4 linked regions of the Oreochromis niloticus genome follow. The protein of the gene in region 4 interacts with the protein of the main gene of each other region in a pairwise test. Links are inferred from orthologs where the notes say so. Each region holds a gene or a part of one and is shown on either strand. Other genes may lie near its edges. The genes, in order: ncdn, plod3, ccdc120b and efhc2.

Region 1 (7,719 bases), on a different chromosome or scaffold from region 4:
TTGGCACAAAGCAGAGATGGCGCCCCTGCTCAGGAGCAGCTCCGAGCCTCTGGGTAAGGCACACACAGCTGTCAAAACCAGGTAGCAGTCAGCAGCCAAGGCCGCATCAAGGCTGGAAGAGAGAGGGTTCTCCTGAGACGTCGACACTCTGCTTGCTTCACTGCCATCATCACCTTTTTGCTTGCTGCTCTCAGTCTCTTCTGCAGATTGTGCCACACTGGCAGGATTACAGTCTGGGTTTGAAATGTTTGCTGACTGGACTTCACCGTCTGGACTCTGCCCTACTTGGTGCTGTTCCCGGGCCTCCTGTTTCTGCTGGGTAAACACAGGACCGTTTACCAAGATGCCTAGCAGGAGGGGGACGGTGGCGAGGAGCTGGGGACTGGAGGCCATGTCTGGCTCTGTGCTCAGGGCAGCCAGCAAAGCCGTGCCCAGCGAAAGGAGCTCATTTGGGGGCAAGCCAGAGTTCTCGTCCCCTCTGACTGCTGTGACCAGAAGCCGAGCTGGAAGATTGAGGCCCACTGCCTCAAAGATGCGCCTCAACATGGGTTTGTCCAGTTCACTGGCTGGGCACAAGCGACTTATCTGAGGATGTGAAGAAAGAGTAGAATTAGTCTTTGTTGAGGCACAATTTAACATATCAGTAAAATCTGTCTACTTTTAAAAAAAAAAAACAAACAAAAAAAAACAAAACACCCCAAACAAACAGTGTTATAGCACGCAATTTTTAATGATACTTTCATCTGTTTGCAATTCCTTGTTGTCCATTCATTCATCCGGCATGCCCTCTGTTCCAGTTCAACCTAAAGGTGTTTGATGGTCAGGGCTCTGTTCCAACCAGTCAAGTTCTTCCCCACCAAACTCATCCAATCATGCCTTTATGACACATTGCTTTCTGCACTGGGGCAGACATGCTGGAACAGAGGAACCTCGATGTTAACTAGTCCCACAAAGCTAGAAGCGGAGTTGTCCAAACCTTCTTGGTGAGCTGAACCATGAAGATCTCATTCACTTGAATGAAATACCCCAAAGCAACATCCGTCCTCCAAACTTTATAGTTAGCACAATACAGTTAGGCAAGTAACTGCTGTGGCATTTGCAAACCTAGACCCGTCCATCAGATTACTCACCACTCTGAGCCAGTTTCATGATGCGTTTTCTACCCACATTTGTCAAGGCAGACACAGCAATGGCAATTTTATTTACAAAAGACCTTTCATTACACACAAACTCAATGTGGTTAACATAAATGACCCCCCCCCCCCCCCCCCAAAAAAAACCCCACACGTGTAGGCCTACAATGCATTAAGACAAACTTTTCAAAGAATTTTTTTTTTTTTTTTTTTCTCCTCTCTTCCCCCCATAAAAGTTATTAACTGTAAGCCTGTGAGAATAAAAAAAGGTTTTGAGTTTGTTTTTAGAATGTAGACATAGCTGGAAATGAATTTAAAATTCCACCTTAAAGGGAGAGTCAATGAAGTTTCTTCAATATTCTACATGTACTTTGATGTACATGTAATGACTGCTGGTGCATTGTGAAATTTGAAAGCTGAAATCTCCTACTGATGGTTTGATAGTCTTGCAAACTGAGCATTACAGCAGGCCATCGTGCTAGATATGAATGCATGGACCAATTTCTCAGAAAGTTTGAGAAAATGTAATCAACAGTTAGAAAATGAAGTGGGAGAAAGCCGTTCTGGAGACCTTATGGATATGATTATCAAAAATGTTGATCACTGTCCAAAATAATGCCAAGATTCCTGATTTGCTTGGAGTACACTTTGGAGTAACAACAAATATAAATGTCTTGTTTCTGTTCAGTTCTATAAAAGAATAGTTAGATATCCAATGGTTAATGTCATCAGTGCAGCTCAGTTTGTGAACAGGGGCTAGATTAGAGGGAAAGTACAACTGTGTACCATCTGTATAAGAATGAAAGGTATTATAATTCTTTATGACAGTACCAAGCAGAAGCTTTAAAGCTTTAGGTTAAAGCCAAGAACAGACCCTTGAGAAAACACTGTTTCAGGTTTTAATTGGCTGGTTTCTTAATTTTACACACCTGTGACGATGAGACTGAAAATTCAAAAGATTAGGAGGTGTGACCCAATACTTCTGCCCATGCAGGGCTGCAGAGGTAGTTAAAAAAAACAAAAAACAAAAAAAAAGCCAACAATGTTTGCAAATAACCATGAATTTGGTAAACGCAACTGTATTTATGAAAAAACAAAAAAACAAAAACAACGAACAACATGCAACTGGCTGCTCAGACCAAGAAAAGCTCCCTTAAGTTTTTAGTTTCAATCATTTTGGGGAAGCTTAATCCCCAAATAGCTGAAAATCAATTTTAAAATAGTTTTATATCAACTCCTTTAACAATATTCACGTTTTTATCTCGATTCGTAAATTAAACGAATACTTACCAGAAGAAGAGCAGCCAACGTCTGACTGTCGTTTTTAGCGTGCTTCAGCGCATGCACACACCTCTCCAAGACGCCTCTCTGGGCATCAGTCAAACCGCCTTTTACATCCCCTTCTGAGCCTCCTCCACCTTCACCTCCTCCCTGCTCCTCTTTTCCAGGAGACTGGCTGTTCACGGTGGGTGTAAAGTCAGCACTGTCAGCCATTATGACCCCGGTAACTATGCGACCGAGAGAGACATAAAGAGGAGAAAAACTTTTTCAATGAATTTCCAATCAGTCTTTCAAGCACTGATTGCAAGAAACCGCAGCGCCACATCGCTGGGCTAACGGGAGTAGTCCAATTTACTGGCTGTCAGTTGTCCCGCTAATGGCTGACAAAAATTGTACATGTATATAAATTTAAAATTTGAGCAGGTGAACGTTAACAATGCAACTTACTTTGTTGACAACCCTCTTGCACGCCGCAACTGCTCGTGCTCACTCCCCCCGGAAACACACTGTCAAGCTAAAGATGTCACGAGCCAATAAAAAGGCCCGAAGAAAATCAGGCAACCAATCATAACGCGGATTGTTGGAAGGCGACACCGCCATTTTAGCCCGTGTCGTAACGTCAGATAAACGAGGTTATCCAGCTTTATCATTTTAATTTTATTTTTTAAAAAACGTTATTAATTTTTTAATATAAAAGAGAAAAAGTTTATTAGCACTCATTGAGTTGAGCATTTACATTTTTAAACGGCTCCTCGTTAGGAGGCGTAAACCGGAACTAGCTGGATGCACGTTGAACGTTTTCAGCTTAAGACAACAAATTAATTTAATTTGTATTGTACGTGAAATGATGAATAAATAGGGTGTTTTCATTATGCACCAAAAATCCACGTGTAAATAAATAAATAATTTAAAAAATAGAAAATGATAAAAATAACAACTGGTTAAAAAAGAAAAATTAAGAATAATCTGTATCGCAAGAAATAAAATGGGCTCATATCCAGGTTCTTAAAACTATATAGCTATTTAGTTAGGATTTTCGGTTTTACTTGCAGATGTAACACGCTAAACTGCTCTGACTAACCATCGCATAACTGCTGTTTTCACTGCCTACTTTGTTTTGAAAATCTCACCACCGGAACCCTTCGTGAAAGGCACTGTATTGACAGTCAAGCACTCACTCACGGCATATCAGCTGTATCAGCGAGAGGAGTACTGACCTAATTTGGAGAGCAGGGGACAACAAGAGACTACACATCGGAACGAGCAGCTGAAGAGAAAGTCTACCATTTTCTGTTTGTGTAAGTCCGTGCACGCATTCTCTCTCTTGTGTTACTGGGGGCAGTTGCCGTTAAAACGCATTGTGTAGGGTCCGATGAGAGATGTCAGCAGCTGTTAGCCTCAAGGTGCCTTGGATGCGAGTGATCCCGGGATTAAACAGGTGAAATACCTTACGATGGGCTACTTCAGCCTTCCAGTGTCAGTGCTTGGACGTCGACATGCCAACATAACATCTGCTAAATGCGCGCAAGTGGCACTTGGGTTAATACATCAACCCCCCCACACAGTTGTTTATAATATTATGACAGTGCAGCAGACTGTGCTGTGGGCAGATACTGGCCTGTGTTGAATTATCTGACAGCTGAACACGTCCTGTCCTGTCTTGAGTAAATCCTAAGCGATTTTTCAGTTTCGCAAGATACATAATGCACGAGCCCACCATTTTGTCTTAATAGTATGAGGGGGGGGGGTTTTTTGGCTTTTGTGTTTTTTTTCCAGTGCGTTTACTCATGCGTCTCATTTGACTTGACAGACTTTAATTCATATAGTCAAACATGCAACAATTTGCGCTTTAAGCAGTCCATTACGGGCTGCACGGGAATAAGAAGAGACAAGAGTGGAGCTTAGTCAGCAAATCAGGGTTATTTTGTTTATCAGTCATTTAGTTGACAAAATAAAATAGGCCAGCAGAGGCTGAAGTAATGTTCTTTATTTAGTCCCTCTACGTTTCATCTCTGATATGAAACTGGCAGATACTGAACGTTTTTTATTTAGTGAGGCAAATACTTGGTGTTATGAAATGACTAAGAATGACTTTTAGTTGTTGTTGTTGTTGTTATCATAACAGGAATACAAATTTGATTTGACAAACAGAAAAATATAGATTTGAAAAAAGAATGATTAAAATGTGTACACATATCAATAAAAAACCAAGAACAGGCAACATAGACCACAAACAAAATAACTGAAAGCAGATAACCGGACAGTAAAAAGATGTCACTGATGAGAAGACATAAAAGGCAAATTGAAAAGTATTAAAAGGATTTTTTTTAAGGAGATTTGCAAGCCTTCTCTCCTCAGGCAGGTCACTCCAAAGCCAAGGGGACCTGATGACAAAACCATTAGATTTAAATCTAAGGAGCAACCAAGAGCAACCCCCTTTGAGAATCTGAGTCTGCAGCCTGGCTCAAGCGGGGGTCAAAATTTCTGCTATGTAACTTGAGACCCAGACCCAGATGCACTTTAGAAGTGAATCTAGTTTCAGTTGCTCCGTTTAAAATACATAATGATTTCACGGAAATCCTATGAGTCCTTGCAAATGGCACACGTTTGTTACCCACACCTTTGTACTTCTTTGACCTGTGACTAATAATAATAATAATAATGATAATGAATAATAATAATAATAATAATAACTTGGGAGAGCTGAAACCAAGTTTAACTTGAACTAGAATAATGTGAAGAGAAAATTATGGAATATGATCCAAAGCATACAACATTATCTGTCTAACATGGTGGAGGCAGTGTTGTGGCATCGGTGTGTATGGCTGTGGAACAAAGTCACCAGTGTTCCCTGATGATGTGACTGCACAGTGCAAACTGAAAATGATTTAAAGCAAACTGAAAAAGCAATCCAAGAGTTTCTCAAGGAAAAGAAATGGGATATTCATCAATGGCCGAATCGGTCACTTGATCTAAACCCAACGGAGTACGCTTTTTCCATTGTCAAACACAAACGAGCAGCAAGTGAAGGTGGCTGTAATAGAGATCTGATGGAGTAACTCAAGCAAGGAAACCCAACATTTGGTGATGCCCATGGGTTTAGACCTCAGGCAAAGTTTTTTTTTTTTCATAAAGGTATTAAAAAGAGTCTTTCAATTCATGTTCATTAATTTTGAATCTCATAATTTGGGGGACTGTGTATAGCAGTCGCTGTAATTCTTAAAAAGTACATGTAAAATTTTTATAAAGCTCTTTGAGTTAAAGCTGAACGTCAGCACTTCAGTCACATATTGATTGATTTGCAATCCACTGTGATTGGGGCAGAACTACAAACTGTGTTTGTCCCAAACATTATGGAAGGCGCTGTATATGCAATAAGTGAGAAAACCCAAAACCAAGATCTAGGCTAACAGTAATGTTTAAAGTGAGTTAAAGACTAATGTGATGTATTCGTACTTTCTTTTGAGTCTTCCATTTTTAATCTTGTTTTAGGATTAGTGTAGTTATTGCTCTAAGGATATTTGTAGAGTTGTCACAACAAAATAAGCAGTTTGTCATGATTATTCATTTTATTTATTTATTTCCTGGGTATGCTGCCTGAAAGCGAAATAAAAACTTGATTTTCCTTCCCTGTGGCAGCTGGAGGAAGCTGTGCGTGGGACAGAGAAAAGCTACATCAGCCTGTCTGCGGAGAAGCCGATGCAGAGCTGACTGCTCCTGCTGAGAGAGGAAGAGGAGGAAGAAACAAGTCAAAGGGAGAGAATTTGCCAGATGTAAGAGGAGGAGAGAGAGAGAAGGAGAAAGAGAGAGGGCGGGCGAGCGAGGGTTTCGGTGACAGAGATCATTGTTCTGGAACAAACCCCTCATGGGTGAACTGGCCATTAAAAAGTCAGTAATGGCCAAGCTGTCATCAGCCCAGGTGACCGTGTGCACCTGAGCGTTACTGCTGCAACACAGTGAAAGTCACCACGTGCCTCAGGGCAGCTGCTGCATGTTTTTTTGTTTTTTTTTGTTTTTTTTTTAAATCCACGCTGTCCAGGCTGCCGGATCCTAACTGAATCCTGCCCATTTTCTGCACTGGATCATTTTCACCTGGAGCTTTTTCCCCTTTTGGGCGTTCACCAGGGAGAGAAAAATAAGCAAAAGCGGGATACGGAGCAGTTTGGATATTTGGACAGACTGAGCCGGTGACTACAGCAGAGAAAGAGACTGCTCGGTGCTCCAGTGTCACGTGCAGGAATGCAGATTTGAATAAGGAATCAGACCAGCAATACAGGTTTGATACTACCACGTTTTCCTTTTAAAAAATGCAGTAAGTAACATAGTTGTAGGTTTGTCTCAAGAAAACAGTGCTGTTTAAACTTTTAATGCTTACCTTTGTTTAAATAAGATCATTATCAGTTTAGTAAAAGCATCAGGACATTTTTAACAGTGCCTTACACAAACATTACTTCTTTCTCTCAAACTATATTTTCTGTTTATTCAATTTTTTTTAAACCAACAAAGTAGTAACTCTGCAGAGGTTGGCACCGATGGCACAGGCTAATTACTAATGTGGAGGATTAGGGATGTGTTTCCAGCCATATGGCTACAGCATCTAGCTAACCTCTTTAGAGTGTGATCACAACAGATGGATATGAAAGCTTGATTTATTACTATATTGCCCCACAGTAGTTTCCTGGTGAGGCCATGTTGAGAAGAGGCCTGGCCGTGCCTTAAACATTGTGTTTCAGGAGCTTTGGTATTTATTTGACAGGGACCATGCACAAAAACACTGACCTCACAAAACAAAGCATGCGTCATACCTAATTTCCATATACAGTCCCCAGAGGATGGCAAACACAATATTGACTAATCCAGCAGTTGAGGTGGGCTCGAGTCCAACTTGGAAGGGACCTTAGGGCACACCCAGGACACACTGGAGTGATTATATCTCGGCTGGCATGGAAACTGTTATCTCGGTATCTCTGCTTAGACTTTTGCCAGCCGTTTCCTGCTGCTTATCCAGCAGAAGGAAGTAGGTGGATGTTTGTATACATGGACAGACTTATCCAGCTTAACAATGAGGATGAACCTAGCTGAGCTGTCACAAGGCAAGCGACGTGGTACATCCTGTCTCACATCCACACTTATGGCCATGATGAATTAACCTAAAGAATGCTCAGGACTGGCCAGGAGGTTTAAACTTGTAACCTTCTTCCTGGGGGACACCAGTGTTGCCCCAAGATTGGAGATACCAGATACAACTTAAAAATATATATACATACGTACCCTCCAGCCCACTCCCACACACAAATACATACAC
Region 2 (7,404 bases), on a different chromosome or scaffold from region 4:
TATAACTTAAAAATGTTATCGTTTTGCTTTTGTCAGTATTTTATTTGTTTCGAGTAAATCAGTTTGGCTGAGATTAAAGTTCTAGTTTTTACACAGCTGAATAAACGTCAAGCAGACAACTGATTATCAGAAGTGTGAGATGCTCGAGAATATACTCCGGTGTCCTGTTATATTTTACCTAGCAAGGAGCAGACGGCTGAATTTATTAAACTTCACCTAAACAACCTGCAAATTTCATTAAAATTTAATAAACTCTCATCTTGTCTTTATGTTTAGTTAGCACATACCTTAAACACTTAAAGCTGTAAGCTAATGATAGTTGTATAAGAGCAGATGCATGCTGGTGCAATAAGCTGTACGTTTTACATCCAATGGATGCATGATCTGATTAGTCGACTAATCGCAAAAATAATCGGTGACTAGTCGACTATCAAAATAATCGTTTGTGGCAGTCCTACTACCGACCATTTCCATGTACACAAAGGATTTTCCATTTTGCAGACTGGAGGGGTTCACACCGGAAACCTGCAGTTCAAGTTCCACATGCGACAGACTTCAGCTGGGATTTTCATCAGTGGCACAAACCCCAGCTGATGGAGATCCATACGGCCTCATCTGGGCTCTGAGCTGATCCCTGTTCAGCTTTCTAAGGACTGACCACACTAAAAACCACCTTCTTCCAACCTGCCAGGAGCATCTTCCAGCCTGATGGGAGCACCATGTCAGAAGACATGACAACACAGAGCCTCGGAGAGATCCCCAAATTAACATCTTGGGCCCATGGACACATCTTAATCTGATCCACAATCTATGATCAGTGCTTAAAAAGCAGGTGGACAAACAGAAGCCTACAAACTGTGATTAACTAACAGCCACAGAGATCTGCAGCAGTTATGAAGAAGAGTCAACATTGTAAATGACTCCTATAAAAGTCTCTAACAGAAATGTAAAAAATAAATAAAAACTGATGAAACACAAACTCTGTGACTGCAGTTATAACGAGAACCAACTCTGTTAAGTTCAGCCAATAGAAACTCGTCATGCTCAGTGTCATAAGTCAGATTCAGAGACGCTGAGCACAACATGGAGGAAGTGCTCAGATATACAACGACCTCCCAGAGGAAGAGGAAGAAGGCGAGTTTAAGTAAGATGTTCTCACTGGTTCACAAATTCACTTTGTGACAGAGGTACAGCCTCTCGGGGTTAACTTCACTGTGTCTGTGATTGTCTGAGGTGTTTTAGGGAAATACGTCTTCAGCTGAGCTGTGTTGTGTGCCATAGAACCTGAGAAAAACTGAGACACTTCATTGTGAGCTCAGATATCTGAAGCATTCAGATGAGCTAAAACACCAGCTTATTATCTATTATTAACAATTTAACAGCTTCTTTATATATACAAAAAAGGGGTTTTACTAAAATATAACAATCCTGGTGTTCCTCTGAAGAACAAGCATCAGGACTGGGATAAAAGTGCAAGCAAAGAATTCACTTTTATGTATCAAAAGACCAAAAATATGAGGAAAGTGCACAGGACTTCGGTTTGACTGTGTCTCAATCTCCAAAAGTTGATTCTGTTCATCTGGACGTAGCGTCTGTGTCTCAACTACAAACAAGCAGCCATACTCAAAGATCCTGAAGGAGGAAGAACCTGTAAAACTGATTATTGATTTGATGAATGAATTAATCTCAGGATAAAGCAAAATAAGTCTTTAAACTGGATCCCATGAATGAGTGAAAATGGCTTCAGATTTCAGTCCAATATTTAAAAACCTCATTTGTTCAGTTATTTTTTTCTGTTACTATCCGAGTGTCTGTTAACTTTTTAAAAAAGGTTTACAACAAGAAGGAAATCTCCTCCTCAGTGTCCCATGTCTCACTCTGCTCCCTTTAAAAACGCATCACATAAGTAATATAAACATGAATACAAACCACAGCTGAGCAAACAAACCTCACAGGGGCACCAAAGACAGGACTATATGGAAAACACAGATCAGATTTAAACCGGTTATTCTTTTTAAAAACGTTTATTCTGTGTAAAACATCATCGTGAGAGGTTCATGATGGAAATCATTAATCCTGCTACATAAACATGCTGTGGGCTCCCACAGTGGCTTTTTAAAACTAATTTAATCCACTTACAATAAATGTTTGACTTATTTAAATGCAGTTAACTAAAATTCTTTATTCTTATATGATTGTAAAATATTAAATCAAAACAATCATACTATTTTAAAAGTCCCAGCTTTCATTTGAAGCTGTAAAACCTCGTTTGAGTGGGTTGATCAGTGATTTGTAATCTTTACTGCTGGATGTAAGCATCCCTGCGTGAATGTGTGTCTGTTTGTGGGGATGTCTAACTTTCTTTAATATTTGAATTTTATCCTATATGTGAAGCACTTCGTACCTTTGTGTTACTTTGATTAAAACTGATACATGTTAACCACACTGTGTATCCGCAGTAGAAACGAAGTTGCGCATTAAGATTTTCCAGAGTTTAGGGAATCATTAATAACCTGTAGGGATTACAATAAGAGTATATGAGGTTATAAAAGGAGCAGGGACCCCTGTTAAAGTTTGCTAACGGTCCTGTGGCGCTAACGGTTTTAATCATTAATAAACATCCTTCCTAAACTCACCCAGCAGCAGAATAACGGAATAAACTCTGAAAATAGTGAATAGGTTTGTGACGTGATGAGCAGCCTTTCCGTAAACCACCCGGAGCTCCACAGCTCCAGCGGGTTACGGTGGTCCGCCTGGCCGGCCAGGGGACCCCGCACAGCGGTCTTACCTGGAGAAAGCTTCCGCTGTTCGGCCCACACGGCGCCCTGGAAAAAGGCGAGAGACAGCAAGCAGAGAAGAAAACAGGAGGACATGTTGGATGTTTGGAAACGGCTCCCTTTAGACTGTAGGCCGTAGCTTTAGTCCACTCTTTCTCCTCTCTCCCCAGCCCTCTCTCTTCACGTTCACCGCTCAGTCGGCACTCAACTCTCGCGATACTCGTCACCTTTTCCGACTTTTAAGATAAAGTCGACAGAAACCGCAAAAAGCTATCCAGCCAATGAGAGCAGAAATGGCGCGATACAGCTTTGACGGACAGAGCTGGTATCCAATCAGCGCAGATAGTCGGAAATCCACCAGCCAATAAGAGGCAGACAGATGGGAACTTTTTTTCTCTCCGTTTTTCGGTGGGCTAAACCACAGAAAGTTCGTGAAAAATGGAGTACGTGAATCTTTGCCACGTCTGAGGCTTTCAGGAGAGGGAGGGAGAGGGAGAGACATAGCGAGGACATGGAAAAACGGAGAGAGAGCGTACGTCGGCAGAGGTTTTATATAGCTTTAAAGTTGCATGTCTGCAATTATAATGATGTTTAATCATTATAATTAGACCCAAAATGTAATCATAATTTAGTATTTATTTACATAATTTATTTAAGAAACAATTAACATTTTCCTAATGAAATATTAATACTGTGAGTTCTTTTACTGACATTCAGCATACATAGCATTCACTGCATGAATAAACTTTCAAAATCGTTTTTCTTTAGCTCTTTTGTAAAAAAAAAAAAAAAAGAAAGAAAAAAAAAAAGAAAAGAAAAGAAAAGAATCACTTTCTCCCAAATAATTGACTCAAAATATAAAAGTAAAGAGCTGGGAGAAGAGACTGCAATCATAACTGTTCTGTAAATACAGCAATCCAGCATTTATTCTACATTTACCATCTAGTAAGCTAAAAGCATACCTTATTAGAGGGTGGATGTATGGGATGTTCTAAACTCTAGATCACTGGTTTCTTTCTGTGTGTCTCAGGATTTAATAAAGCTACAATCTACACCACAGTGTCACAACAAGGGGCCCAACAATACACAGTGTTAATCAACTGGGACCAGGAATAAGATAAGATAAGATAAGACTTTATTGATCCCACGGAGGCGAAATTTGTGCTGTGTTTCCTTGTTCTTGTAACATTGACAATTAAATCTATTCTATTTTAGTTTAAAGACAGTATTTAACTCTTTGTACTCTTTAACTCTTTAACTCTTTACTCAAGATATGAAAGTAAAGAGCTGGAGAAAGAGACAGTAGCCACACTTTGTTAGCAATTACAAAAATCAAACATTTAGTTATTGTATTTTTAATTTTTATTAAACAGATTTCAGTCATATCACAGTAATCCCTGCATTAACTAGTGGGAAGTGACCATGCTGAAGTCTGGAACATATAGCAGGATGTTTTAACAAAACATCCTGCTATATAATGTCAAATATCACTGTAATTGTCAATATTATTCAGTATATTGTAAATTCTGTGACAGACTGGTGACCTTTCCCGGTTGCCATATGACAACTGAGATAGGACCACTCCCCCATTAGTGATGGGAATTCCGGCTCTTTTTAGAGAACTGGCTCTTTCGGCTCCCAACCGGCTCTTCAGGTTGTTTTGTTGCTTTAATTAATTTATTATCAGCAACAATATAAAATTATACACAAAAGGAATTAATAATGTTTAAAAAAAAGTGGTTTTATTTATATATGTTTATATATAAATATATATGGTGGCCTGTAGAGACAAAGTACATGCAAACTCCAAAACACATTGCTAAACAAAAAGAAGATGCACATTCTCTGTCATATAGGCCTGGGATGATTTTTGGGCGAGTCTTTTCCTCCTTGGAATTGCATAGGATTCACTGCATGAATAAACTTTTTGAATACTTTATCATTCGCAACTGAAAATAGTTGTGGATGATTACTGTTATAATAATAATAATAACTATACCTTTTTAATGTGATGTTGTTGTCTCTTGTTGTTGTCCCTGGCTCTCTTTCTCTCTCTTTCCCTCCCGCTCTGTTCCTGTGCAACTGTGAGTGTAACTACCGCCCCTCCCCTCTCTGCTCAGCGCAAAGCACAAAGCTCACGTGCAGAGTGAAGCGAAAAAAGAAAAGAAAAAAGAGAGAGGATGGGAGAGAAAAAAAAACACGGCTCGCGTTGTTCACTTCAAAGATCCGGCTCTAAGAGCCGTTTCGTTTCCGACCGACACATCACTATCCTCCATCCCCTCCCCCACCATCATGTGACAGGGTCGATGCTCTGTCTCTTCCAGCATTTTGTTTATAGAGAGCGGTAGAAAGGTTTTGAAATAACTTGCAGATTCTGGGAAAGTGACAGTGAAGTTTTTTTTTGTTTGTTTTTGTTGCTCAAAATGATTGAAAAAGCAATCTCTGATTCCAAAACAACAGTAAGTAATTCTTATTTCTCGATCGATATGGGAATGCTAATGCTAATGCTAATGCTAAACTCATAAGGATTAAAGTCACACAATCTTGTTTTTAGATTATTGATCTGAAGTAAAATTTTATAGCTCTGCATTTGGAGGCAGGAGGGACATTAAGGTTATATGTCGCTTACGGAGTTCAAGTTATTATCATTTTTACTCTTTCTTTGGCAACTTTAACACAGATGTTCAGTCAATTTTGGACGGAGAGTAATGAAATCTGCTTAAACCGGCTTACAACACTCAACGGCATTTAAACAGCGCCTACACAGCGCTCTTCACAGAGATGCTGCGCAGCCCTACTGTTTTGAAAAACCAAAATGCCTAATCCTCGAGCAAATACAAATCTATATCCCTGTGGTCGTAACGTTTTCCATCAAATCAAGAAAAAGCAATTAGGAAAAGATATAGCAGGCTATTTTTTTTTTTTTGATAAATTAAAGGCAGTCAGTATCCTATCACCAGAAGCTGTGATAACTGAAGGAGGAAAAAGTGCAAGCCTAATTAGAATAAAAACAAGATGCTCCAAAGAGTTATCATTGTATTGATTAAGTAAATGTCTGTCAGCAACAGGTGTGCGCCCAGGTTCAAGTGAGTTAACTCTTCTGCCCATTGTTTACTATACCTGTCTGATACTACTGAGCAGTGAGCCTCACGGTGGTGGGCTGCTGTGGAAGTGAACAGTTAATTTAACCGTTCTGCTTTGTGTTGTTTCCCTTTTCATTTTCTTCAGACAAACATCTCTGCTGAAACAGGACAAAATGTCACTCTGCTATGTCAAGCTCCAGACAATATAGTCATGACTAGGGATGGGTACCGGTGTGGCACCGGTTCTGACATAAACGGTAGTAACCAGACCGAAAAGCAGCGCACATTTCGGTGCTTTATTTCGGTGCTTTTTTTTTTCCTGAGCCAATTCTAGCCAATCATTTTACATTTCCGAGGATAGTAGCCGGGGCCAGGTACGCGCGTTCTTTTAGAGCAGAGCTACAGATTAAAAATGTCCAAGGAGAAGCGGTCAAAAGTCTGGCTGTACTTCACAGCAAAAGATGCAAACTCAGCAGCCTGCAACAAGTGCTTTAAGCTGATACTGTGATACTGTCAAAGGAGGTAACACCTCAAATCTGATGAAACACCTGGCGACGCATAGCGGGGTTTTTTAAAGCCGAGAAATGCGCTGTGTTTGATAGCTTGCTGCGAGACCTCACACCGTGCACATCTACTGCGGGTGTGGTGCCTGTTATCGGACCCGGAGTTAGCAACATCCCCCAAAAACCCGAAGAGGAGAGTCCTGGCCCCTAGCCCTGCCAGTGTAGCAGAAATGATGAGGATGATGATGGCAGCAGCAGCCGTTCTTCTCTGCGTGAGTAGCTTCATGTTGTTCGTGTGTAATTAACGTTGAGTACGCTAACCACGTTATTACATTAATGCATGTAAGGTGAACTAGCAAACACCGTCGTAGTTACTGTCTTCTTGTTTGATGGCAGATACTCCCTTCACCCTGGCCAAAAAGGCTAAAATGACCAAAGAAAAAGTGGAAAACAATTAAACATGAGAGGGTTTTGGACCAATTTTGTGTTCTCCATTCTTTAAGCACTGGTTTGAGCACCGTTTAAGCACCGTTTAAGCACCGGCACCGTTTCAAAAGTACCGGTTTGGCACCGGTATCGGATAAAACCTAAACGATACCCATCCCTAGTCATGACTCTTGTAAAGTGGATAAAACCAATGGTGGAGAAATATGTGTGTTTATTACGTGATGGTCACGTTCATTCAGAAGGATCCATCTTTTCAAAACTGGGTTTTTTCTTTCATGAATGCTACATTATGGAATTTGATTCTGAAGAATGTGATGAATAATGACCCTGGAATATATGAGTGTTGGGTCTACATGAATGAAACATGCTCATGGAAGCTCATCAACAGCACCAACCTGAGTGATGTTGATCCTCTAGGTGAGTGAGTAGAGTGTATGTGTGATCCATTTTCATGCTACACTCTTTTTTGTGGGAATATTAGTACTTGTTTCTGTATAATATTTCTTTCAAGATGTTTTTATGCCAGCAATTTTCTAATAGTTTTAAAACTAGTTTTAAAAAACTTTAACATCTCAGTGTATTTCAGGTTTCCAC
Region 3 (7,766 bases), on a different chromosome or scaffold from region 4:
GTTGACCGCTGGTGTTGACACAGCTGCTGCTGTTGTCAACTTACACATGTGAACCAGAGGAGGGTTACGACTACACAGCTCCTGTTAGGCTAGCATGAGGATCCCACGCTGGTTCCTGAGAAGTTAATAGGCAGCAGACAGTTAAAAACTACAGTTTGCACCACTGTCTGTGTCAGTTGTTACAAAGTAGTACCTCACTGCTTTCACTGGTGTACCAGGACAGCATTTCTCCATGTCTAAAGCCATACTGATCTAATCTATAGGAGAACAGTAATGCAACTCCCAAACATTGACTATCAGACCCCAAGGACACTGTAGAGCCATTGGTGAGATTTGCTGGTGAGGATGGGAGTAGAAATGTAAGAAGGAGGAAGATGTAATTTATGATTCAACGAACAAGAGATTGGACAAGGTCAGACATACGGCTGATTCAGAGCTGCCTCCACCTGGGCAACCCCTACAACTGTGGATGGAGGGCTTATGCAGGGGTCAGGTGACCCTCCAACCAACCCCGCGCACCAATGTGATCTCTTCGTTTTGCTCTCTATATCCATGAAATACTGATTTATAATGCACTTATCAGCACAAGGCAGGGCAGCTTAGCCAAGGCTGACCAATCGTATAGCTCGTCCTCTCTCCCTCCCCGGGCCTTGATGCTCACCTTTCTACATTTGACACAACTACCACAGGCAAAACAAAGCAAAGCCCAGTGACTGCTATCCACCTGGATTCCGCTAAGCTGAGGTTGGAGGAGAGGAGGGTGGAGTAATAAAGAAAGGAATGTGACTCTAATGTCCGAGGGGATTATTGCTATACATTTTTCCTTTGCTCTGTAACACCTGGAGGGATTTCTGTATGTCCAAAGCTGTTTTTATGCTCTGTGGCTTGCTGTAATCCACTTTGCTGATTCTGGAAAGAGTTCAGTGCTTTTGTTTCGCTCAGACTTATGAAGTGCAGCCACAGCAGCCACGCCATTACATTCAATATTTACACACAAAAGGACCTTGATCTGATTGTTTTGTGTTTTGAAGAAAAGTAGGTGAATATGCTCCCCCATCTGTAGTACTACAGTCGCTTGATCAGACTTTATTCCCTGGTTCTAGCAACAAGATACTTTAGATGAAGCTAAATGTTTCTCATTGCAACTCTATGTCTTTGTGCTAGTAAGAAGTAGTGAAATGACTAGAATCAGATCAAGCAGCCAGTGTTTCTTTTCACACTGTACTTTACCTGCATGTTTTGTCATTCACCAACTACAGAACCACATGTTCAAATTTGTGTCAGCCCATGTCTTAAGGGGATCATTTAAAAGGAAGGAAAAAAATAGTGTAACCTTGATGCAACCAGTTAAAAAATGTAAGTATTAAAAAAATGCAACTGTGACAAAGCTATCTGGGTCAAAGTCCACTTCCATGGAATGTGACTGAACTGTACTGAAACACAAAGGCCAAAGGGAGTGCTTTGTACTGTACGGGTGAACAGAAACACTAACATGACTGGTTTCATCCTAATCCCTGTGATCAAGAGGAAACTGAGCATGAGAATGGTCTCCCAGCACACCAACCCCTTTGCTTGTAAATGTCCTGGTGTTCCCTGCACTAACAACTGTAAATAAAATAGGAGCAATGAGCATAAGGCTTCAAAGGAAAACCCTCTAGTAAAAAACAGAGGTGTTTCCCAGAAACGCGAAAAGGTGGAGTACAGTGACTCACTGTAAAAGGCACCAACACATTTTTACGAGCCCACCCCACCAAAAGGGATCCTGGCGGACAGGCTCGCTCAGGGATCTGTTAATAATAGGAGCTTAACGCTGCTGCATGTGACCGAGCAGTATTAATAAATGAGAGGAGAGAAGCAATAAGGCCCAGGAGACGGCAGTAACAAGATGTTCGGGTCTGTTTTTTTGCTTCATAACAATGCAGCAACAGGGGAGAAGTTATGCATTCCCGGGAAGCTTGGCACACATTTTCACTCCTTTAAAAATTGAATTTGAGACGTTCTTGCAGTTCTGCCACCCCCTGCCTCCTGACGAGCGTGCCACACAAACGACCCGTTGCACTGTTTTCTGGCACAACGCGTACACAAACGCGAGGCTCTCACTTGATGCGGTCCTCGCATTCATCGTACGGACATGTGATTTGGCTCAACATAAAGCACGCGTTCGCACATCCAGTCTGCGCTGATCCCCGCATCTGCATAGCCGTTGCAGACGGCGGCGCACCGGCTGATAATGAAACGCACCGGACTCATTATGGAAGCGATAACACATCGCAGGTGTGTCACAGCCCGCCACGATGACAAACGTCTTTTCACACGAGCTAAATGCGTGAACAGATGCGAGGACGTCTTGCGGACTCGCGTTTAGGCCGATGCATTTCATTTTATAGAGAAAATATATCATTTTTAAAAGCCGTACTGGTAGCTATTAATTAATACGCCCATTTAGGATGGAAAAGGACATCTTGGAGCAGAATCCCCTCTTACCAGAGAGCATGACTGATGCCTTGCGAGGTCTCCATGGTTCTCTGGAGCGAAAGCAGGGGGAGGAAAATCATTCCTGCTTGTTTTTATTGGCAAAATGTGCGGAGATCCACGGAAAAGAGCTGCCCGTTCATGATGCTTCACTATCCCAATTGTAATTCACCAGCAGCCTCGCGACCTCCGCTGCGTCGGAGCTCTGCGCATCTCAACAGACCTGCTTTCTGCACGGCATGAAAACGCTCTCTTTCACACAGCCAGCTGACTCCACCACGACCACAGCGACGATGCCCCTCCCCAGATGGTACATGCCTTCAATGTGCGCCACTCGATCCGCTAATACGAATATGACCCAGGTGTTGCACAGTAGCGTGGATTCATGTGCAGCAAGGTAACCCTCCCCAAACCCCCAAGAGACTTTTTCCAGATTTAAAAACTGATACGTTCAACTCAAAAAACTAAAATAGTCGTTTTAGTTTTACTGCTTTCTATGTCAGAGTTAAATTGGACCGCACCATACAAAATTATAGCAGCCCAACATGGCTTTTTAATGGGAAGTTAATTGCGTTCTTCCATCCTTAATTCAATAACTTCAATAGTAATAAACGTGTATTGGTATATGTATATTGGTGTAAAAAAACGCATTCAAATTCATTTAAAGTGCTGACTTTTTAATGTTTCGGATTGGATTAATATTGGACTAATTTCAGGGCTTCAAATGTTTTAAGAAAATTCACTGTAAGTATTAAGAAGTGTATCCGATACAGAAACGGCTTTATACAAATTAAAATATTTTTTAACACATCACCAAATAACGGGAGAAAAAAGTGGCTCCACACAAAAAAGGACTTTTTAAAGAGGGCAAGTTAAACACCTGTTACCAACCGACTGAAGCACACATTTCACTCTCTGAAGACAAAGTTAAAGGCGAGAGATTCTCAAACAACAGCTGCACTAAAGCCCTGGCAACACATCATAGAGGAGAAACTGAAAGTTGTGGTTAAAGGGCCAGTTTTACGTCAGAAAGTTCCTAAGTACAGCACTTTGATTCCTCCTTGATTATGTTGTTCAGTACAGGACAAGCTGGAGCATCTTTTTTTGAAAAGAGAATTCATAGCAAAGCTTTTGACCGCTCATGAGAACGATCAACAAAACCGACAAAGTGATAACTGCTTGTTAAAGGCACAGCTGAACTCTGAACATCACACTGTTGCAGTCAAGTCTGCTTCTTGTCAAATGTATATCAACTCTCTCTAGAGTCTGATTTATATTAACTGATCAAAGTATGTTTAAGACTTGCTTAGCTTTATAGGCTATATGTTTTCTTTAGGCTGTGTGTTCCACTGACTCAACCATAAACTCAATAATTAGCAGACAGCAACCACATAAATTGATGTTACTGCATATAAAGTTTAAGTCAATTAATTCTACTCAGTTGATGATTTGGACACATTTGATCAATTGTAAAATAATACAAAATATTCTAACATTATCACCAAACATTACATACTCAAAGACAAAAATGACCAGAAATGAGGAAAACCAGTGTCAGTTCTTCAAATATGTTTTAATTCAAAGACTAAATAACAATATTTTTTAAAGGAATAACCCACTGTTCCCAAATATTTCAACATATGCACAATTACTTGAGGAAAACAACATTTAAAAAAAAAATCACATCAAGAATGCATAAAATTTCACATTGTTAAAACTTGCAGGAGGTTGTTTGTAATGGGGGGTAAAAACTGAATTATTATACACTTAAAAAACAAAAACAAAACACATTATATGGCTGAAAATACAATTAAAGGCCAAGTGTTATACTACTCGAGAACAGAGACAGAAGAAGACTCATTAAGTGCTTATTATTATTTCAGATATTATTATTTCAGAGTCATCTGTACGATGATTGTTGCTACATCATCACTTTGACAAGAGCATGTTGTTCTAAAAACAATAAAAACCTCGAAAAACCGAAACTAAACCTTTAAGGAAAGTTTACTGTTCTCAGCTAACATGGTGCCAGTCACAACAACTGTAATCCTGTCGCTGGGTTTTAGCTTGAGATTTGTGAGGAATGTTTAACTACATTCATCTTCATCTGTTTTTTTTGTTTTGTTTGAGATCTTAAAAGGTGTTACAATGTTTTTAGTGTCAAGTCTAAATACCGGGTCATTGAATAAAGTTTTCAGTAGATATAGTGTGAAATATTCTCACTAGACATCAAATTGGGCTAAAATTGAGAGAAATTACAAGTACAACAACCCCAACATAGGATTACACAAAGGTACCTTTTTTTAAGTGTTACTTATACTTACTTTGCATAACCATCCACACTGTCTCTTTATTTGGGGAATATTCAATTAAATATTTGACCAGTAATGTCACTGTATGTTCTGGAAAATCACTACTATCTCAGATGTCTTGGATATTTTTTAAAACAGTGGCTTGCTCCTACTTATAGCTTGTGGGTTCTGCTCAAATGACTTTAGACTGTCATAGTAATGGGGTGAATACAAATTTAGCATAATATCCATACTAGGTCAGTTTGTGATGATATATTTCCCACTTTTCAGATATTTCTGATGCAATATGATAACAAAAACTCACCCTATGAAAGCAAAAAAGGAGGGTAGGTTAGGTTTACAAAAAAGCTGACCTACCCAACAGCTGTTTAAAAAAAAAAAGTTTTGAGATTAAAGTTAGTTATTTATGAGAACAAACCTCAAAAGGTAATTGTACTTTTTTTCCTGTCATGGGACAACTTCAATGCATTTTTAAAGGTCGTATGAAATTCATCACACCACACATGCTGATGCTAGGAGCACATTCTGCCTTCAGTGGGAGAGCTAATCAAATGATAGTCTACTTTGCAATCAGATTAAGATATTTAAAAAATGCTTGTAATTTCAGCCCAGAATCAACATGTCATCATTACAATCCAGTATGAATGGTCATGAATTTGAAATAATCACATAATTCAATTTAAATAACTAGTTCTAATAGAAAGGTACCTTTGGCAGCTCCCTTATTTCCCAAGTGGTCACCACATCAGATGGATCAACACATCTGATTTGCCACCGGGTACCCTTTCTAATTCCCTCACATTTTTCCAGCCTTAGTATCATCACTGGGAGCAAATGCAAAAATGCAAATAAATGGAGTGCTAATAAATGGAGTGTTAGTGACAACAGTGATGACACTAATGAATATATTATTAAATTAAAAAAGAAAGCAGTTGAGGTGCACACTTGTTTTTACCAAAACAAATCTTCTATTAACTTTGTTGTATATAGTATGAACGAACCCGGTAGCATGACAACAGTGTTAATGCTGGGAATCAAACACGTGGGCTAATTTTCTAGTAGTACAGTTGTCTGAAAGGGCTACTAAAATGTGTAATAGTGGTAAGGAGGGTGAGGGATATTCCTCAAGTAAGAGTGTGAATCAACCAACAGCACACTAACCACACAGAGGGCTGACTTCAGCACACTGCCAAAGCCAAGACACATAACAGTCAAGTAGAAAAGCCCTACACCTACATAATAAAACGTCTGAGAAGAAACACGCCTGGATTATAATGTCACAACTCCTGAAATGCCTTTGGTGATTCTTAAAATAAACCATTTACAGTCCAGAGGTAAGTCTGTAAAGTTTTGATATACATCATCACCAAAAAATAAAATAAAATTGCACAAAGTGTCACTAGAAAACCAGTGGTCTCCACTCTGCTCACATTTATTTTCCATTTCTGTCTGTGATGACGTTAAAGTTGAAGTGCTCTGCAGTTATTACAAATGCCCACATTCTTCTTAACCAGGAAATCACATGTTGATGACCGTTCCAGTATGATGGGGTCTTTATAATGTAATGGTTCTTTGGGAGGCATCCCCCTGGCACACAGAGTACTTCTCCAGACCCAAAAAGCAAATTAACCACCTCAGTCACCGAGGTTAGACGTGCTGGGTAGCAGTCGTACAGCGGGTGGGTGGGGAGCAGCGGTTGCTTTTGGACGGTGACCTGATAGAAGAAGCCCGGGTCGATTAGCACCATGGTGTCGGTCATGCTGGACTGCTTAGAACACTGGATGAGCTGCAGCTGCGGGCCCTCCACCATTATAGCATACCACAATATGGGCAGTACAGAGGAGCGTAAAGAGTCTAGTAGTTTCATGAGGTGGTTTTCTGCATCTGCACCAGTCCCAACTGGGTTATCAGCCAAACTGAAGATCTGTGTAATCTGCAGACAACAAACGAATAAAAATACATACGCATATGATTGCCTGTGGGGGGCGGGGGTAGCCTCAGCAGGACACTTACCATGGGCAACTCATCTTTCTCTTCTTCAACAACTTGCTTTGTAGCTTCTCTGCCACTTTGTGCTCTCTCTGCATCCCATCTGTTTTGCTGCTCCTGTATTGACAAAGTTGGTCTCATGAGAGTGACGCCTTAGTCTTTAACTCACTGCAAAATTATAAATATTAAACTACACCCAGCCCACACCTGCACATCAAATTGTGTCAGAGTCCAACAACACAGTTTATTATTAATAAACTGAAACCATCTGTGGACAGAAATGAATCCTTTGCAGAAGTCTGCAGCTACAGGAAACCTCTGACGCTGCTAATGGAGATTATGTGAGGTATCGGGTAGCAGCCTCTGGGGAGCCCACAAAGAAACTCCGCACATTGTAGTTCCTCAAGTTGCTATTTGAGGCTGGCTCATAAAACAAGCGAGATCCCACAGAATCTCATGTTAAAACACCCAAATGTTAAAGTCTGGTTAAATAATTAAATAAATAACACCCCCCCCCCAAAAAAAACCCCTCTATATCTAATTTTAGCTTTCATTACAACTGTATGTGGGTGAATTTTACATAATTTAACATTATTAAACTGTTACTTTGTACTACTTAGCAGCTAGCTGTGTCTGTTGTACACATCCATACAGTTCATACACCATGCCAGCACATCTTGCGGGGGCTAACTACAATTCAGCACTCTAACTTTTTGTCCAAATATGCTCACTTATGGCTAAAAGAAATTTAAAAAATAAATAAGAACAAACAAAGATATTGATGGTTGTGAAGCTAAATTTAAGAATTCAATTTGCTAAAAACTATTTGGTGCCATCTTTTATTTACAGTCTATTGTTTTAAAGGGGTTTTTTTAGCCTGTGTATTGAATTATTAAACACTGTGGTATATAAAGATGGTAAATGGTAAAATGGCCTGTATTTATATAGCGCTTTAATAGTCCCTAAGGACCCCAAAGCGCTTTACATATCCAG
Region 4 (7,761 bases):
TGGAGGAGAAAGCCTACATGCTTGAGGGAAACTGGGTGCTAAAGCAGTCCTGTCAGAGTGAATGAGGTCTCCATGAAAGCAGGAAGACGAAAAGAAGCAACACAACCAGAAAGAGGGACACTGCAAGCCTTTAGGTTAGGAGTAACCATCTTTAAATGTTAACTAAAACAAAGAAATAGCAAAACTTCAAGCTCAAAAAAGCCCTTATTTACCCTTTTGTATAAACCTGTCTGTGCGTTTCTTCCTTATTCTCTCATTTCTCGACAGCTGTTATCGCGCTCTTATCACGCTGCCTTACCTACCTTAGGTAGTCTGCAGCGACGAAGAAATTTGTTCACTTTGTCTCTGCCAGAATTTGGGGGGATCACCTCCCGGATCTCTATGGTGTCATCAACCAGGAAGTAGTGCAGTATGAGCTCCCGCAAGTCAACATAAATGCTCTGTGAGTCATCCCAGAAGCAGTAGAAGCGCAGGACTTTGCGGTCATGGTCCAAGAACTGCTTCAGCGTATCATGTCTCTCATATGGCCGAAGCGGCTGCATACTCTTTTTGAGCTGAGAGCGTGAAACAAATAAATTATTCACTATAACTTTCTTTAAAAATAAATAAATAAAGGAGGATTAAAATATAGTTCGACAGAGTTATATGAGTTGAAATAAAATACAAACAACAAAAAATGTATTTCGGATGCTCACCTGTTCCCGGAGGCTGCTGTAGGGGTCCTCAGGTACAGTGGTAGGGTTATTTACGTGCACCCCACGTTTTGTCAGAAAGTTCCTTGTGAAAGCGTCACAGTCAGTCACAGTGAACGTGCGAGAGTACAGCTTCATCTGTTGGTTGATGTTGAAATGGAACAGGTTGTAGAACTGGCCTTCATTTGGAGGAGGCAGTGGGATACGGTGGCGACGAATGAGTGTTCCTATGACAGGGATCACCAACACAGAATTGGTAACAAACGGGTCTGGAAACTCTCATCATATTGCATTTTTGGGCCACTTGGGAAAAAGCAGAAGATGAACAAAAGTCCAAACCTAATCCCAAAAGAGTTGGGACGCTGTGTAGAATGTAAATTAAAACAGAATGCAATCATTGACAAACTCATAAAACCATATCAGTCTGAAGAAATGTCTTTTTGCAAGAGACAAAGCTGAAAATCAATGCTGAATGCCCATGATCATCGCCACCCCGAAGGCATCTAATACAGGCATGGTTTTGTCATGGAAATCACTGCATCAGCTCAGGAACACTTCCAGAAATCGCTGTTCACTGTCCACAAATGGTTGGCAGAAACGGTTAAAGCTCAATCATGCAGAGAAGAAACTGTATGTGAACAACGCCACCATCTTCTCTGAGCCAACACTCATTTAAAATTTACAGAGGCAAAATAGACTGCATCTGTAGTCAGACAAATTAAAATGCAATATTTGATTTTTTATTTCTTCACAGTGTCCTTGGGACTAAAGATGAGAGGAACCATAGAGGTTGTTATCAGCCTCACTTCAGAAACCTGCGTCTTTGCTGGTATGGGGGTGCATTAGTGAATATGGAACTGGCAGTGTGCACATCTGGAAAGGTGCAATCAGTGCTGAAATGCATATACAAGTTTTAGAGCAACATATGCGCCCATCCAGACGATGTCTTCAGTGAAGGTCTTGTATACTTGCAAAACACTGCTAAAACACATACTGCCTCTATAACAACTTTCATAGGTATAATTCTATAAGAGAAGAATGGGACAGCTTTTCTTCTGTCTTCTCTTCTTCTTCATCTTCCGCCCATCAAATTCAAAGTGACCTTATTTTTTTCTTAAAAATGTTTCAACTTTTTATTATGAGTAAAATGTGAGTTTATCAGATTTGCAACTCATTGCATTCTGTTTCCATTTACATTTTGCATAGTGTCTAATTGTTTATTTATTTATTTATTGAGGCTGTAATTGAATTTAAGCAATATTCTCAAGATATTTCCTGTTATATCACAGACACCTTGGGGAATGCCACTGTTCTTGTACTCCGGCTCCACAACCTGTATGGTATCGTCTTCCAGGAAGAAGTAGATCTTACACTTTCTGATTCTGTACGTCTCAGACTGAGCCTCAGGTACAGTCTCCTGGAAGTATGCATCAAAACACAGAACCTAGAAGGACAAAGTGATATTTTGTGGCTAAAATTACTCAAATGACAAATGTTTAGTTAGTGAAATGATGACAGGCTTTAAAAAATAACAGGTTTTATTTTTTTTTTTTACTTGAATGAGTAACACAAGCTATTGGAAGCTTTAAACCTTAATAACAGACGTAAAAAAAATAACACAAAGCTATACCATAATACGTGTCTGTGTTTGTCTGAGTGGACAATTAAAATCAGTTTCTATTATTCACCTGTTTGTCAAAGGTTACCCATGGTGGTAAACCGGTACCACTTCCTATAGGATAGACGGAGTACTTTGATTTAATCTCCTGACCAACTAAATGTTCTCCTCCAATGCCTGGCTTCTCAGACCCAACCAGCATAGGGACTCCACTGGAATAGTCAAAATGTTGGGATTTGTGGAATTTCTCCTTCCCCAGCTGTGGTACAGAAAGGAGAAAGTATATCTGAGCACTTTCTATTAAAAACATGTTAAATAGACTGGTTCTTATATGCCTGAGCACTCAAAGCTCTTTCTAAACAGCATACCTCACTCACCCACTCGTACAACCACTTTTATCTGAGCTTAAGTGCTCTCTAGCTAACAGGCGACCTGGGGTTAGTTTCTAGCTAAGGAAGTCGCCTGCTAACGAAACTCAGTAATTTGCGAGAAAAATACGAAGTGTCTTAAACTTACTCTTTCATTGGGAGAGTTCCCTGGCAGAAACGGTAAAGCCATAGTGGTAATACTTATAATTGTTGGATTACTTTCTCCATAAAACTCAGCAGCCCTGAAGTTCCAACGGTCTGTTATTGGTCTGTTACCATGGAAACGTCTATTGGGGACACGTCTCTTAGCAACAAAAAGAACCAATAAAATATTTTTATTTTCATAACAATATTCAAATTATTGCTGTTCATCGTATATTTTGATGCTAACATAGCCAATAAATTTAAAAAAAAAATTATACATTGTTTTTCCTCCAAGTTAAAAAGTACAACAGAGAGTAAACTGTGTACTTGTGTACTATTTATATATTAAAGTTTACAAATAGTATCAGAGTTGGTATATTTTTTACCACCTCTACTAAGGTAATTGAGTAATTATCCCTGTAAATAATACCTTGCTGTTTATAGTTTACTGTACATTCTGATTTGGAAATAATTCTTGCTGGAACTTTTACACTATCTATAAGCCCTCTGAGTCTACCTAAAAAAATTATAATTTAATGTATGCCACACACATCCTGCAAAAATTAAAGTTGGACTTAAGAATACATTATAACACACCCTGTTTCTTTATAAACTGTAAACTATTATGCTTGTAGGGCATACAAAAATAAATGGCCAGAGTAACAGCTCATTTTTGTTTCTAATTATATGTGAAACATTTTACAAAATCCAAGTGAAAGTAAACTACTTCTGACACAACCCAGATCTCGGCTGAAGTCCCGGGGTGACCGCGTGTTTGCTCTGGCTGCCCCGGTACTGTGGAATACCCTTCCTCTTGTCCTCCGCGCATCTGATTCCATTGCACTGTTCAAATCACGACTAAAAACCCACTTATTCAATCTTGCCTTTCGCTCTAGTTAATATTTTTATGATTTTATATTATGCACTTTTATGCTCTAATTTCTTGTTTGCTCTGTACCTGTTGCTTTCCTATGTATCAGTGACAGCTACCTGCTTGCATACCTAGTACTTGCTTTGGTCCTATTTCTATTATCTTCCTTCTACTCTCTATGTTACTTGTTAAGCACCTTGGCATACCCTTGGTTTTTAAATGTGCTTTATAAATAAAGTTTATTATTATTATTATTATTATTATTGAACCAAAGCATGGATGAATGTATACTAACAGACTTCAAAGGCATCAGAGACTAGGTTTCATCATCTTTACAGTTAAATAAACTGCACTGTAAATTGAATTAGACACAATTCAACATATTTCTTTATTTTTATTTACTTACATAATAGTCAGACCACAGCCTTCAGTACCCAAAGTGATGGTAAACATAATAGATCATAAAAAAACAGAGACTGCAAAGACTGGTGTAACCCAGTGTTTACTTTGAAGATGATTGATTATAACGTGTTGAACCAAAATATAAAAATTAACAGTGGCACTGATAGAATACCCTAAAGACATGCATCCCCTGCCATGTGTAGGTGAACTGAAATCTATTTGCCCCAACTGTGCACAACCACAGTGGGAAATCTTTCCTTCTGGAACATTGTCCGTTTTTTTAATAAATACATAATAACAGAAACATTCTGTTGGGTTTCCTTTTTTAATTTAATTTCCATGATATGTATTATTATTTGGCGTTAAAACTGGAGTGTTTCAAGACGGCCATTCTGGGCTAATAAATAAGTCCCACGTCTATATCAAAAATACTTGCAAGTACGATGTTATAAACAGAAGGGTTTGCAATGCAGCTTAAGTAAAAACACAGAGCTCCAAGCTAAACTGGTATCTGTTGGTCACTTGCTGTTAAAACTCTTGAGAACTTAATTATAATATTGCTAATTATAAGCAAAGACTTATAATTATCCTCTATAGCTTTTTATAACATCAGAAACATAACACAAAAAACCCCCCAATAATACACTCTTCTCATTCGGTAGGTCCTAAGATGCCAGGCCGAGAAGGAATCCTCCGATGAAGCCACTTGTGACGACAATGTTTTTCTTCACAAACTCTCTGGACTGAAAGATACAAATCATATTTCATATGACACAGTCGCTTTTTCATTGTAACGGGAGGGTGAAAATGATCTCACAATCAACCAGACAACTCACAAAAAAATTACCTTCTCAACAAATGTGTTGAGCTCAGGGACTGCCTGATCTGTTCCCTTCTTTAACTGCTTCTTAGCTTTGTTGACATCCTTCTCTACTCGCTTCCAGTCCACTTGGATATAACCACTGTTGTTAGCTACCTGAAGAAAGACAGATTCATGAAAACAATGTCAACGTGTTGAAAAGCTTAACCTGCACATATTTATGCAGGGCGATGCAATAATACCTGTAAAAGCAGAAGACCGCCCCCCACTGCAGTAGCAGCAACTTTTCCAACCTTCTGGAAGAGGTAACCTGCACACCTAAGGCAAATTGAAAAGAGAGCATAGTAGCTGATCTAACAATAATAATGACACAAGTTAGCCTAACAATGACCATTGTGAGGTGGCCATTCACTGTCATAAGGTTTGCATGATGTGAAAGGTCCCACTGATAAAGTATAACTAAGACACTGTTTGCAAGATACCTTAACTGCAGAGTTATAAAGTTGGGAGTGTGAAATTTGTTTTCTTAAGTGATGGCAAAATACAATTTTGTCTCTCTGCTACAGTAACATGTGAACAGCGAGATGAGCATGCACTATATGTAATACAATACTGTGCAAAACGTTTTGAGCTACTCCTCATTTCAATATATTTTGCTTCCAAGGAGCCAGGCCTCCTGGTCATTTTTTAAAGTGGCCTTGAGCAGTAGCTCTCCAGCCCTTCTGATGCTCTTTTAATGTTTTTTCTTTGGACTTTCCTTTCCAAGTTCTGAGGTATGCCAAATGACACAAGAACTGGATTGTAAATCGCTTGTCAAAAGTAATAAATTCATGAACACAGTAAAAGTTCTTTGATCCACCATGCAATGTCATCTCCAAAGTGTCTGATTTGGAAACTGAAACTAAATAATGAAACTGCTGCCATACACGCTGCTAAAGGTATACCTGGATAGAATCCCCCCCCCCTCCAAAAAACAAACAAAAAACACGGTGGAACGCAGTCAGCCACCAATTGTGCAAAGCCTGGACCTCAACATTACTGAAGCAGTGTGAGATCATCATGACAAAGAATGGAACAAAAGGCATTCAAAGGAGAACTTTGAAGAACTATCTTTGAAGAGTGCTTAAAGGAATTAGACGAAAGCTTTCTGAGGAGACTTCAGGCTGTTGAAGAATACTCATGACCTTGATCACTTTCAAGGTCATTAGTATTGTATAAACTCTGTTTTGCTTTATATACTGTATGACATATATGTTTGCATGTTTCAAATAATGTCTGCACACATTTCATATTTTCCTAGCAAAGGAAATGTGGGGTGGCTAGAGATTTTTGCATAGTACTTTAAGAAATAAAGACATCCGTGTCCAATCAGCCAACAGAAAATATACTGTAAACAAGATGAGACACAGAGCAATTTATAACCATCTAAATTAACCTTGAGATTTTCTAATTTTGCGTTAGGGTGTTTCTCAGCCATTCATATTTACTAGAACTACAACTACATGAAGTGCTTAACTAGGAACGCTAAAGGCAGCATAATGCATTTTAATGAGAATATTTACCATCCACTCACTCCACCTATTGCAATCTGTGTAGCCACAGAGTATTTTTCAGCTATGGGGCCGGAATTCTTTCCGAAAAGGCGGTTCCACCATCGCTGACGTTTAGCGTATTCTGTCAGATCCACGACCTTGTCGTAAATCTCATCTTCCACTTGTGTACATACAAGGAAAAATAAAAGACAGCTAGCATGAAATAACAATGAATGCAGCAGCGACAAGCCTTACAAGCACAGTTACATTAATGCTACAAAATCAACACACGATTCTAGACGCTATTATCCATTACTCAACTATAAACTGTAGTAGTTTCCTGCTTTTTTACTTAACAAGATCTATCATGACAAAGGCAGATACCAATAGTTTCATTACGGGCTCCATTACAACTTACTAAAATTCCTGGGCCTAACAATAACTTAGCATGACTACACAACTAAAGCTAACAGGTGAAAAGTTAATGCTAGCTGTAAATGGTGCGGCCCAAGAGAGAGTCAGCGCCACAGAGGAAACGGGAAAACGGCTTCAAGGCTTCGTAGCAGCAACGCGAACGTTACTAAATGCACCCACGGTGTCGAGACCGTCCTGGATCCGAACAACATGCAATAACATTACAGGCCTCCTTACCCTTGCTATTCGCCATTTTGGAGTGCACTGGTCTGTCCTCAGCTGCCTTCACGTCCGGCGTCATTTGCATAAATTTGACGGTGAAAAAGAAACCGAGACATGGGCAGGCCTACATATAATGTAACGTTATACGTTATGTAATAATAATAATAATAATAATGATAACAATAATACATGTTTTTCTTTCTTATGAAACATTTGGAGATTTTGCCAGTCTCGCAACTCCATCCAAGTTTCGCGTGACCTCCAATACACTGCACTGAAGGTTGTTAGGACACAGGTATGGGCAGCTAAAGGTGTTTTGGTCGTGGCTATTTTGTTTTTTAAGAATAACTCTAAATGAGTGCATTCCAAGTGGAGATGGTTTTCTAAAAGTTAACCCCCTATTTTTCTAACCGATATTAGGAAAACAATTCCTGACAATAACAGGTTTCATTTATTTAGGTTATTTTTGCACTATTAAATTAGCAGAAGAAATCCTGCCGTGGCTTATGGACCAAATCGATGAATTTGTTTCGAAATAACCCGGTGTGCCTAGTGGTAGAGAAAGACAAAACAGACAAACAAAATAAAGAAACAAATAGTAAATATATTAAAACATTATTATTGTGTTTTATATAGCTTTTATTTTTATGGGGATTTTTTAATATCTTTTTTGGAACA

What was found.
Region 1: the proteins of efhc2 (region 4) and ncdn interact in binary tests that used the Homo sapiens proteins (3 or more experiments, as listed by UniProt). The two-hybrid records come from large-scale screens. The link is inferred for Oreochromis niloticus from reciprocal best matches to the Homo sapiens genes EFHC2 and NCDN.
Region 2: the proteins of efhc2 (region 4) and plod3 interact in binary tests that used the Homo sapiens proteins (3 or more experiments, as listed by UniProt). The link is inferred for Oreochromis niloticus from reciprocal best matches to the Homo sapiens genes EFHC2 and PLOD3.
Region 3: the proteins of efhc2 (region 4) and ccdc120b interact in binary tests that used the Homo sapiens proteins (3 or more experiments, as listed by UniProt). The link is inferred for Oreochromis niloticus from reciprocal best matches to the Homo sapiens genes EFHC2 and CCDC120.

The regions. Positions count from the first base shown.
Region 1 is NC_031985.2:13,970,745-13,978,463, reverse strand, and holds the start of ncdn (neurochondrin), read right to left. Parts: upstream 3,012-7,719; 5' UTR 2,862-3,011; intron 2,642-2,861; 5' UTR 2,628-2,641; coding exon 2,424-2,627; intron 586-2,423; coding exon 1-585. UniProt on the Homo sapiens protein: Probably involved in signal transduction in the nervous system, via increasing cell surface localization of GRM5/mGluR5 and positively regulating its signaling. Required for the spatial learning process.
Region 2 is NC_031967.2:75,612,061-75,619,464, reverse strand, and holds the start of plod3 (multifunctional procollagen lysine hydroxylase and glycosyltransferase LH3), read right to left. Parts: upstream 3,015-7,404; 5' UTR 2,874-3,014; coding exon 2,789-2,873; intron 1-2,788. UniProt on the Homo sapiens protein: Multifunctional enzyme that catalyzes a series of essential post-translational modifications on Lys residues in procollagen. Plays a redundant role in catalyzing the formation of hydroxylysine residues in -Xaa-Lys-Gly- sequences in collagens.
Region 3 is NC_031970.2:31,353,677-31,361,442, reverse strand, and holds the start of ccdc120b (coiled-coil domain-containing protein 120), read right to left. Parts: upstream 3,008-7,766; 5' UTR 2,485-3,007; intron 1-2,484. UniProt on the Homo sapiens protein: Centriolar protein required for centriole subdistal appendage assembly and microtubule anchoring in interphase cells. Together with CCDC68, cooperate with subdistal appendage components ODF2, NIN and CEP170 for hierarchical subdistal appendage assembly.
Region 4 is NC_031987.2:31,111,084-31,118,844, forward strand, and holds the start of efhc2 (EF-hand domain-containing family member C2), read right to left. Parts: upstream 3,001-7,761; 5' UTR 2,869-3,000; coding exon 2,827-2,868; intron 2,570-2,826; coding exon 2,381-2,569; intron 2,137-2,380; coding exon 1,986-2,136; intron 920-1,985; coding exon 696-919; intron 555-695; coding exon 303-554; intron 1-302. Other genes in the region: fundc1 (FUN14 domain-containing protein 1), read right to left, coding at 4,761-4,838, 4,943-5,071, 5,158-5,233, 6,478-6,628, 7,099-7,168. UniProt on the Homo sapiens protein: Microtubule inner protein (MIP) part of the dynein-decorated doublet microtubules (DMTs) in cilia axoneme, which is required for motile cilia beating.